2 linked regions of the Drosophila melanogaster genome follow. Changing the gene in region 1 together with any one later gene gives a genetic interaction. Each region holds a gene or a part of one and is shown in the gene's direction. Other genes may lie near its edges.

Region 1 (7,595 bases):
CATGGTACGCGGCAAAGCGTGAACCGTAAACGGTAAACGACAAAACGGAGACGTCGCCACTTTGGCCATGAGTAACGATGAGTGCTCAATTACTTTTCGATTGATCATGGTTTTGGCGCGCGGTGAAATTTAGACCGCCACCCCGCAGTTGCGCCTACCCCCTCTCGGCATCCGCATTCTGTCGACCGGTGGAGCGTAGTCGGCAATCATGAATGAATCGCCGTGTCTGCGAGCGTGAGAGCCCGGCTCGCGGTTGAACAAATCGTGTCGTCATTGACGGCTGTCGGCGGCCGACGGAGCGTATGAGTAATATTCTTGTGAAATTGAACGGAAATAACTGAAATTCATGCCAACCCCCATAAATTGCCGACTATTTGCGGGGGTTACTTCGGAACGGAACAAAACGGAACGGAATGGATCGTTTCGCTTCGGATCGGAAACGATCGTCTCGGAATCGAAATCGGAGAACGGGAGATCCGGAGAAACGGTGAATCGGAAGTGTGTGCCGAGTGAAAGTCATTCGATAAGAGCCAAGTAGCCGCTCATTTCGTTCCCCAGAGACCGGCAAATAGGCAAATTACACATGTTTTGTTTATCTGCGAGCGGGAGAGACAGTGAATAGCTCTCCCAGCGACCTTATCTGGTGGAGATCGGCCCAGTCGACGAATCGATCAATCACTCCACTCCAGTGCGCCGATTATGTGTCATCCCCCAAAGGGGAGCGCTGGAGAGCTGTGAGTATTTCTCATCGTGTTGAAATCTAGCTGGCCTAATCATTCACTAAACGTTTGTATTTTTCACGCCCATTACGACTGGGTAATATTGGTAATAAATCTATTATGTTCGGAATGGCCGTAATATAGAATATTTATGACATTTGTTACTAGTTCACTAACCAAATATTGGTCTCAATCGAATAGCTATTGGATGATTGTACTTGTTGTTGCCTAGTTTAGATGTTATCTCTCATATTTAGTATTATTAAAGTTAACTAAAGTTAGTTAAAGTTATACTTTTCTTCTGCTTTTTTCCATGCTTTCTTCAGCGTATCTTATTGCTCCTAGTTGCTAGTACCCTGGGTACAGGGTAACCCATTGTCCACACCCAGCCGCTATGAGTCGTTTTTGTTTTTTTTTATCGCTCAGCTGTGCTTTTTTATGGCTTTCTCGCGTTGTTTTTGGCACTCGGCGAATGTTTTGAGCGCTTTTCTTGCGATTGCACACTCATGACAGCCGAGAGAGCCTCTCCCTGTCTCTCTTCCGCTTCTTTGGCGATTCGAGCGGAGCGAACATGACCGGCGGACTGGGCGTCCGCCTCCTCATTAGTATGCTCATAGTAACTGAGGAGTTCAGTCAGTCTCCGCCGGCCACAAAAACAAAAAACTAAATATATATACACACATAACCACTGCACGCGAAAAGGCGAAAAAAAAGTGAAGAAACGCTACTGCAAAAATTGTACAAAAAAACAACGCAAAGACGGCGAGAAAGCCACTCCAATCCACTCCACAACACTCCACTCCACGCTCTCCAGCGGCAAGAAATCGACAGCGCTGTTGACTTCGACTTCGATCGAATCGGAATCAAATCATAGCAGACAGTCGAAGGCAGCGCGTCGACACTTAACGCGATAGTTCGTCCAGCCGCGATATAAAGATACAAAGATACGCAGCCAAATTCAACAAATTCAACAAATTCGACAAAGTCGCCTGATTCGCCTGATTCGCCAAATTCGCCAAATCGCGATCGCTTTTATTATTGGTTAGTTTTTTTTTTCGTTTTTTTCCCCGTTGCATTCTGGAAGCTTCTTTCCGGCAAATACACACAAAGAAAAGACTAACAGCGTTACAAAAGCAAAGTGCGTGTCAATCAAGTACGAATTTTTGTGCGGAATTCCCAGCCAACGATTTTTATGTAAATGGTAAGTACAAGTAACTACCGCAGGCGCGTATTTTTTCGGGGATTTTATATTTGCCTTTTCTGCTGCCGATAAGAGAATTCACCTGTGCGTGCTCGGTTTGTTGATAGGTACAGGTGTCTTTCGCTCGATACTTCTGAACCCGCAGAGTTCTTGCCAAGAGCTGCAATGGTCAGGTGAGGTGTCACGTACCCCACACATGATGAAATTGGCCCCAAGGAGGAGGTGTGATGGGTTTAGGGATTGGAGATGGGGATAGGGCTCACAACCGAAAGGGACCATCATCTCCAGCCTCTCATGGGGGAAACTCATTCGTGAATCACTGACACTGTTTGGTGATAGGCATTGAAAACAAGTTATAAATTCATGATGCACAATATGTTAAGTTCATTTTTCCACATGTGAATCATAGCATTTTAAAGTTATTACAATTATGAAAAACCCAAAGTTATTTGAAAACCTATGGACGTTATTTTCGGATGAGTATGACTAATCGTACAGGGGCGACTTGCATTTATTTGCTATTACTATTCTAACTTATTGGGAACTTATTGTTCCATTCAACCACACAACTTATGCAACTAACTTAATAGTTATTGCAACTGTAAAAAAAAACCCTTTTGACGAAAAATGGCCAAAAAAAGAGCGAAACATGTGAAATTAATTTACACGTTTCGTGCCGCGGGGGTGGTGGTGCCAGTGGTGCTGGTGGTGCTGGTGGTGCTGGTGGTGCTGGTGGTGCTGGTGGTGCTGGTGTTGCTGGTGTTTGGCAGGAATTGAAGATTGGATGCGTCAGCGGTTGTCACTACAAGCGTTAGCGATTCGGCACAGACAGGAGGACAAGGTCCGGGCAAAGGGACCGCGATAAAGAGCCGGAGAGCGAAAACGCACGGCAAGAGAGAGTGAATTTCACAAAAGTTTGCAAGACCAATGTTTCGTTGACCATGCTGCTCGATGTGTAGGAGGCGTGTGGAGCGATTGGAGCCTACCCCACCAGACAATATGAGATAGCACCGCCACCGCCAGTGCGGTGGCACCACTATCACCACTACCTTTGCAAGTCGACCTCCACCCGACACACGATGATTCATGATAATTTGGCTAAATAAAGAAATTTATTTTTAATTTGAAATAATTATTTCAGCCAGATAAAGACGGCACTAGCAATGGCCGTAGCTGTAGCTAAAGCGCAAACGATAATAATAACAAATCGCGCATGCTTCGGGCCCCCCAAACAATTGCGATTATATTTATATGTGTGCGTATGGGTTTGCGCATAAGTGCGTCCAGCGGGAATCCCCAAGCAGCCAACAATCATCATAATTCGCCCACTCAGGCACTAACACACACAAAATAACACAAAACAATCGCACCACAATCACACATCCGTACCATCACGTGCGCGAATTTTGGTTTATATTTGGCAAAAGTTGGCCAAGATAATATATAACCAGTCGGTTCAGTTCAGTTGTCCGCGCAGCGTCCGTTAGTCTTGACTTATGGTAATTGGTCCCTCGGCAGGGGGAATACATTTGGCCAACCGAACCCTCTTTTCGGCCAAAGTTTGAGTATGTAAATAACTGAAAATCGAACATACGTATTTGATTTTTTTTTTTTTTTTTTTTTTTTGGTAACTAATAATAGTATAACCTGTTGCTAGACTTTTCTCATGCTAAACACCGACGACGTCTGACGAAGATGTGACGTCAAGAAGTCGTAGTGAAACTCGAGCCATTATGGGTGGGAAAAAAATGAAACTGTGTTATCTTGAGGGCTTTGCGTGTTTGTATAAATTTTGTTTAGCTTATTTCGGAACTTTTTCCATCCACAGACGACAGCTGACCGCCCGCTCGACGTCAGCAGGAGCAGCGGAAGCGGTAGCCGGAGCGGTAACAAAACGGCCAGAACCAGGAATCCAGTGGAACCGCAGCCGCAACCGCCGTTCGTGGATCGACGACGACGCCTGAACAGGAACTGGTCACTGATCTTACTCGCCTTGGCCATGTCCCAGTTTGCCCTCTCCGGCGGCGGTTGTGGCGTCTCAGCGGCGCCCAGTCACCTGGCCACCCCGCCCACTGACAGCCCCTCCAGTCCCATCAATCCCACCAATCCCCTGAAGCACCTACAGAAGCGTTCCAGAGCGGCCAACTTCCGGCTGACCTTCCAGCAGAAATTGAATGCCAGCAGTACGCATCTGGACTGGGAGAACACCTGCAATCTGAAGCCCACGGGTCTGAACGAAACGCACAGCAAGGCGAAACGCTGCAAGAAACGCCAAAGGGTAAGTTTCAAGCGAAAGTTGGCTCTTAGCTGATAAATAAATTGGCACAACTAATTCACACACTATTATCTATATGTATATATGTATTTGTATCTATTTCAGATCCTGCAGAATCTACAGAACCAAACGGGCCGCGAGCTGCGGGGCATCCAGGCCGAGGACAAGGCCAGGATCACCACCAATGCGGACAAGCTGGCCACAGTGAGCACCAAGACTCTGGACATTGTCGAGAAGAACAAGTGGCGATTCTATAAGGGAAACTACAGATTCCTGCCCCGTCTGAATCTCACTAGCAAACAGGTGAGTGTCGTCCATATGCCATAAGCATAATATATGTATGCATATATCGTCATGTGAAGAACTACTGGATCATTTACAAACATCAAACACTCGCGGGGGGTTCTTCTGTTGCCAGGGAGCTTGAGGTGATAAAAAAGAGGGTCACGTGAGGCGTTCGCCCCGTTCACCTGCGTAGGTGCAAACAGGCCGTCACAAGCTAATGGCGAGTGGAGCGGTCATATGAGTCCGAATCCGAGGGAATCGTGCCGCCAGCCGCGAGAGTTGTTGCCATAGTTTGTTTGCGTGATTAAGGGAATTTATCAATCTATATAGAGGGGTATGAAGGAAACTAAGGAAATAAAGATTGAGATATGTATATAGTTCATATGTGCTAGCTTGATGATGGAGTTGTTTTGACAACACTTCCAACAGCAACTTGCATTGAGCACTTAAGTGCCGCCAACTTTTCGATCGCACCTCGTTCGTTTTGTCAGCATTAGCCGGCATTTCGGGACGCCCCATTAACCGTCGATTTGCATTGGTAGCAAACAACAACAGCACGAGGGAAAACATTAGCAATCGATGCCATAACCACATTAAGATTAAGAGCAAATTGACGGCGCGCGCGCTTTTTTTTTCGATTATTGTTTATATAGATCCATCGCGATCCCCCCCAAACCGGCCTTGATCCAGCGATCACGTTTTATGGCCAATCCGTAGATTGGATCGATCCGAATTGAGGCTGAAGCTGAAGCTGAAGCTGTATCTGAATCTGAAAACGAAGTTCAATCCGAATCTCAATTCGTATCTGAAGTGGATAATTTGTTGAATAAACAAAATAAAATCAAGCGGCACATTTTATTTACACTTTTGACAAGTAAACAACAACAAACAGAAGCTAATCAAATTTCGAATTGGATTCGCCACGGACATCTGAATTATGGCGAGAGGAAAATTATGGAGCTTTTCAATTTCGAGACCCTCGAGTTGCGGACAGTTTGATGTTAATAGAGTGGAACCGTTTAGTAATGCCAAATTGTCGGGGTCTGGGAATTCGGAAATATTTTCGCACTGACACGGTGAAATGAGCAAGACCAGTTGAGGAAAAACCCGGAGTGACCGATAGGCCAGTGAATAATGGAAGTAATGGAAGTAATATAGAATGTGGGCTCCGGAATGTGGATGGCGGTACTTGCGAAATGATTGCCACGGAGTACCAGTCGATACGTGACCAAGTATGACAAACGCCGTGCACTAGAAAGGGTCTAGTCCACATTTCAATGAGGTGGATGTCGCTTCGTGAATCGGTCGAGATCGGCTTGGTTGCCCCAACGTGCTAATTCCTTGGTGTCCGGGAAAGTTTCGTATAGGACAGTAATATCTGCAGATAACCAGATGAGTGTAGTTCACTTGGCGTGGCCATAAACAGATACTTTTATGAGATCGCAGGTGCGGCGAAAAATCTCAAGTGTGGTCAAGATCCGCGAAAACCGCCGACTCACTTCGAGTCAGCCAAAAGTCGCGTTCAGAGTGCAAGTGGAGTCTCAAAGGTCGCCACCCCCTGGGAATTTGGTTTTTATTTTTTTTTTTAATTACCCGTTCTGCTAAACTTAGCCAGTCCCATCATAGTTGCCATTCCATTTCATCCATTCATTCACTTAGCCAGCGATTCCACTCAATCGTCTATTCAGGGCGATGAGCAAAGTTTGGCTTTCGCTGAAATTTCTCAATTGTCGTCATAGTCTGGGAAAAGTACCTGGGCCTCGCGGATCACACTGTGAGAAAATGAGGGTAACAATTGACTGCCTTCGCTGCTTATAAGTACTCTTTCGTGTTGAGTTTTTCAGTAGATACCTTTGATCACACACTACTCGATTCGACCAGTCGATCCACCTTTTCTCACTCTGCACCAAGCTCGGGAACTTGCCGCTCGGGATGTGTGTCAATATTTGGCCAATATCGGCTACGTCAATGCCAATTGTGCCAACTAATTGTTGACATCCCCGGAACAGAGTGAAACGGAACCCCCAGATCGGAACCCGATCCGACGACGAGGTGGCAAACGGGACTGATAGAAGAACTCTATATTTAGATGGATCGTTTCGATACCGAGAATCGACGGCCTTTTGACGTCATGCATTCGCTCATACCCACCCAAAAAAAAAAAGGAAAACAACGAATTCGCTGATACCGCAGCGGATCGGTTCGGAAGAAGAAATGACCTTAACGATAATATGTTTGAGTAGTTCACAACGCTCGTTTATTGCAAATGACACACACACGCCGTTTGTGGTCGTTGATCGGGGGGATACGGGGCGCGGAGCGTATACGCGATATGTGATTCATATGAAACAGAGCCGTGGATTCCCCCGAAACTCCAGCGAGAGCGAGCGGGAGCGGGAGCGGGAGCGGGAAAGGGTGAGCGGCGGCATGCGGCGAGCGCGACATGAATGAAACGAAGAGCCAACGTCGACGTCACGAGCGGCCAGCCGAAGCGTAGCCGAGAACTCAAAAAACAGTTACGAGAGAGCGGCGCGAGCGTTCGGCTTGATTTTCACTTTCAGCCGCCGGCCAGATAAGTTTCTGGTCGTTGGGATGAGGGGAGTGTGTGTGCGATGGGAGGGGGGGGGGGGGGGGGTCCGCAAAGGGGCTGGTGGGCTCAGTTCACTCAACCCAAAAAATTCGAACTATAGGATCGACTATATACACCATATGCGATATGGATATCGCAATTTCCGCCAAGGTTTCGCCGTTTCTAATACTTTAATTTTACAATTGGGGATTTTTATTGCAAGCGAGTGCAGAAAAAGGTTTATTCAATAAAGATAACCCCGACCTTCATTCATGGCGATACAAGTAATTAAGGCGTTAAATACTTAAAAATATCATACTTTGCCATATAATTGTTTTATTTTCAATTCTATGCTGATATAATCAAGGATTATGGAGTTGATCTCCAATATGGGTTGGGGTAACTATGATGATTAAGTTGGGAATATATAAGTTTACAAGTTCATGGACAGTTAATGATATAAATAGAGCACTTAATTTAATCTAAAAACTAGTATATATAAAATGGGTGTACAAATATGAATCCATAGATTCTTATCAACAGAGA
Region 2 (4,351 bases), on another chromosome or scaffold:
GAATATCGAAAACAAATGAAAACTGAGGTGGCGCGTTGAGTTGAGTTGGAAAACCTGTTGCTGCCAAACGACGCACACAGATGCAAATGCTCAGCGACAACAAGCAAATGCAGTCTATTTCGTCCTTTAAAAGGCACTGGAAAGTCTCGAACTTCACTGTTTGGGTAACATGAAATCTTTAGCTAAACGATTGTCTCAACTTTAATTGCAAATTAATGGGAAACAAATTAAAAACACGAAACGAAAAACAAAACAGAAAACAAAATAACGCGACGCTCAACACGACTGCTTCGCAGGCAGTTATCGACTGATGCTTATCGGTCGATATTCACCACACCTAGTATGACCACAGGGGCGATACCCTTTGCTTGGCGCCATTATCGATTTCCGATCGTTATTTTCAAATTCGAAATATAAACAGCAAACCTTTAATAATGCTTCAATCAGAAAACATATAAATCAGGAAAAAATAAATCGTATTTTAAAATTATCAGTTTATTTATTAAATTCTAAAGTATATACCCGCGATGGAAGTTGGTGGTAGGCATTACATAAAATGAGCATCGCACCTCCGCTTGATATCACTAACCTTTTGTAGTTACCCTAAACAACGAACTCGAGGAAAAGATTTCGGAAGCATTTTGCATATTTGATACTCATGGCGATAAGTATATTGATTCCCGCAATGTCGGCAACGTGCTCCGATTTTTAGGTTGCGCGCCCACCGAAAAAGAGGTCGAAGATGTCATTAAAGCCACCGATTCCGTCGACTATCCAGGCGAAGCCCATTTGGTGAAGTTCATGGAACACGTTTCCAAACTGCTGATGGATCGACAGTTATTCAATATACTTTAGGTTTGTTTAGCAACTAACGATATTTGTCCACAGAATGGAACCAGCCTCGTCGGAAAAGCTTCTCGAGGCCTTTGAGACCCTGGATCCAGAAAATAAAAAATATCTGACCAAGGAGTACTTCGGCAAATTAATGGCGGAGGAAGGAGAACCTTTCTCCGCTGAAGAATTGGATGCTATGTGGCCTGTGGCAATTGATCCCATTACTGGACACATTCCCTACACCTTCTACATAAATCAACTCAGGGTAAGATCGCATTTCCCAACTACTTTTGATTGGATTCATCTAAAATTTCCAGCACAAGCCTGATATCTATGAAATTGCCGAGGTTATCAAGGAGGAACTAGCACAAGCCGAAAAAGAAAAGGGCAAGAAACCACAACAACCACTGTTTTAGATGCCCCTTTAATCAAGCAATTGCAAATAACGCGGAAAATAAATTTATACATTTTATAACAAATAATTTCCTTTCTCGTTTTTACTGTTCCACATTGAGATATAGACGGTCACACTGCCATGCGCAATTCGAGATGGCATAGTCGTTGTTCTATGTTTGGATATTAAAATGAATTGTGTGAAAAATTTAAGGAACTATTTTTTGTTTTAAGATATTGCCTGAAATGTTACAATATATTTATTAAATCCAATAAAAAAAAATTTACAATACATTTAAGCGCTTTTACAAATCATCGTTGCTCTAAATTAACTGAATTTGTAATCGATAGCCCGATACGTGCTGCTCCATCCCTCATTACCCCAACTCTTCTAGAAAAACACGTCAGCTTTTCACAGCCATTCGGAAAAGAACACGTCAGCAGAAAGGAAAACTGGTCGGTCGATATTGCAAAGGTGGATGAGAAAATTGCGTGAGACGGAGCCAGAAAAGCCCGAGTCGGCGGCGATGAAGAGATTCAAACCAGCAGAGCGTCCGAGAAGCGCAGTCGAAGTTCATGAGACGACCTAAAACAAGCAAAAGTTAAAATACGCTCTTACAATGCAAATCTAAGTGGAAAGTCGCTTTTCACAATTGCACACAGCACACAGCAGTTTATCATTTAGCCCCGAACCAGTTAAACATGGCACCCACAGCAAACACAGTGCTAATTACCGTGCCGCGGACAGCAATCACATCGAATAATCTGCCCAAATTGCGGCCCGCCCCCCTTACGGCAGCTCTGCTGAAGGTGTCGGCCACGCCCTCCGCCTCGCCCACGCCCTCGAGTTCGGGATACGCATCCTCGTCGAACATGGATGACGATAACATGGCTGCATCCCAGCCCAAGGCCAAGAAGCGTCGCCTGGACCATCTAACCTGGGAGGAGAAAGTGCAAAGAAAGTAAGTCCACCCAACTTTTAACCAAATTTGAGCGCCTTATTTAACTGTTATTATCGAACAACAGGAAGCTAAAGAACCGTGTGGCCGCCCAGACATCGCGTGACCGCAAGAAGGCACGCATGGAGGAGATGGACTACGAGATCAAGGAGCTGACAGACAGAACGGAAATACTACAGAACAAGTGCGATAGCCTGCAGGCCATCAACGAGTCACTGCTGGCCAAGAACCACAAGCTGGACTCGGAGCTGGAGCTGCTGCGCCAAGAACTCGCCGAACTGAAGCAGCAACAGCAGCACAACACCAGATGCATCAGCCAATCCAACGCCAGCGCAGGCGCTGAGGGCTGTGCGTCCACCAACCTTGGATCTGCAGCATCCAAAGCTGACCCTCTGCCGCAGGGTATACAACAGGTGGACACACAGTCGTCAGCGCGTCTGCTGGCGGAGCAGCTGAAGAGCAGCAAGAGCCTGGCCTCACTCTGGAAAGTTGTGGCCCTCTGCCTACTCTACAAGACATGCTTGGCGTCGACGAAGAGTTCGACGTCAAGCGCCTCGAAGAGCTGGCCGAAAGTCTGCTCGCAGATATCACAGCAGACCTGGAAACAGGCGCTGGAGCGAGCAGCCCAGCTGCTGCCCAAGATGCAGGCAACGCAGAGCGATTGCCTGGACCAATGGTGGGGCCCGCAGCAGAGCGCTTGGAATCCGACGGGCATAGAGCTAATGGCCTGAATGTTGAGCAGGAACAGGAAACCGAGCACAAGGTCAGCCTAAATGTGCAGATGTTGAAGATAAATGGAAACCCACAGCATACCACAGCAGCGCCAGCCTCGAGAACAGCCACAATCACAGCGACAGCGGCCGCCTCGCAACTACAGGCCACTCCGGACACAGTGTACGGCACGTATGATGCCAAGACGAACTCGATCACCATCGTGATGGACGGGGATGCGGTGCCGGTGAACGAGGCCGTCGAGGAGATCTACTGTGACGGCGTCAGCGCTGGCGACGACTCAACGGACGTGATCATGAAGTGTCCGCCGCCAGCGACGTCTCCGTCACAGGTCTATCTCAACGTGATGAACGCCGTCGACAATTCGGACGACGAGGAAAGCTTCGATCCGATCGACCGATTCCTACGTCCGCGCGTTAAGGCGATCTCCCCGTTGGCCAAATCCCCCGCATTGTCTCTACACTCGGCCACCTCGGACCATGGATACGAGTCCATACTGGGCTCTCCCACATCCGTGGCTCTCACTCTGCCCGCAGATGAGGACGATTTCCCCTGGGAGAGCAACTTTGACGAGCTGTTTCCCAGTTTGATCTGAGTTTTTCAAGCTGAAAACTTCGTTCTGTCTCTCTTTTATTGTTAAGTTTGGCCGGCCGCCGTTTGTTTAAGTTTTTTAGTTGATAGGCTGTACATAAATTCATAATCGAAGGCTTTATATATGATACTGTAGTTAGAGCGCTAAGTTTAGCTGTAGGTTTCCATTTATATTTAACAATCTCTAACCACATAGGCTTATGATTACTCTTATATGTATGTATTGTGCTCAAAGAATTTGAAAAAAAAACATTTGACTAAAAAATATTCAAAATATAAACCAAACCAAACAACAAGCTCTTTGTTTTTGTTTACTCTAGGCGAAACAGAACTTTGAACTGCGTATGATAAATAGTTAATCACGCCACTTCTCTAGCATCACGCCACTTTTTTATGACGCAATTTCTGCGTAGATGATGGGACAGTTTTAGGTGTAAGCATATGAGTCATTTTGTTTTTATTAACCAAATATATATATATTACAAAAAGTGAGTTGAACTGACTGCAGATAATGCGGATAGGTGAAATAAAACCACAACTATGCTCTGAAATATATGCACCTTATTTATTAGTATATTATTCATTAATAAGACGAAATACAGCTCTGTTTTTCTCCAAACTGAACTAGGATTTAAACAAGATTTTGCTAAGCTCGAAAAATATATTTTTTAAAGAATATAAATAGAGCCACCCTAATGCGCCAGCAAAAGCGAATTTGTTTCGGAACTAGTTCGAAAAAGTTGTTTATAGACTTGAACCAGTTTTTGCTTACGAACCACATACCTGTGATTTTGCAGAAAGATAAACAATTTTTAAATGCAATAGAGTGTACGGTTAAACAG

Evidence for each region. Genes that interact genetically often act in the same process or in processes that back each other up.
Region 2: of upd3 (region 1) and Xbp1, changing one suppresses a phenotype caused by changing the other (phenotypic suppression), as found in Drosophila melanogaster (one study listed by BioGRID).

What each region holds. Positions count from the first base shown.
Region 1 is NC_004354.4:18,275,686-18,283,280, forward strand, and holds the start of upd3 (unpaired 3), read left to right. Parts: upstream 1-1,547; 5' UTR 1,548-1,917; coding exon 1,918-1,920; intron 1,921-3,748; coding exon 3,749-4,198; intron 4,199-4,300; coding exon 4,301-4,498; intron 4,499-7,595.
Region 2 is NT_033778.4:21,141,948-21,146,298, forward strand, and holds Xbp1 (X box binding protein-1), read left to right. Parts: upstream 1-1,601; 5' UTR 1,602-1,929; coding exon 1,930-2,189; intron 2,190-2,253; coding exon 2,254-2,917; coding exon of another isoform or gene 2,918-3,513; 3' UTR 3,514-3,803; downstream 3,804-4,351. Other genes in the region: CG9406 (uncharacterized protein), read left to right, coding at 528-540, 599-836, 889-1,099, 1,152-1,250.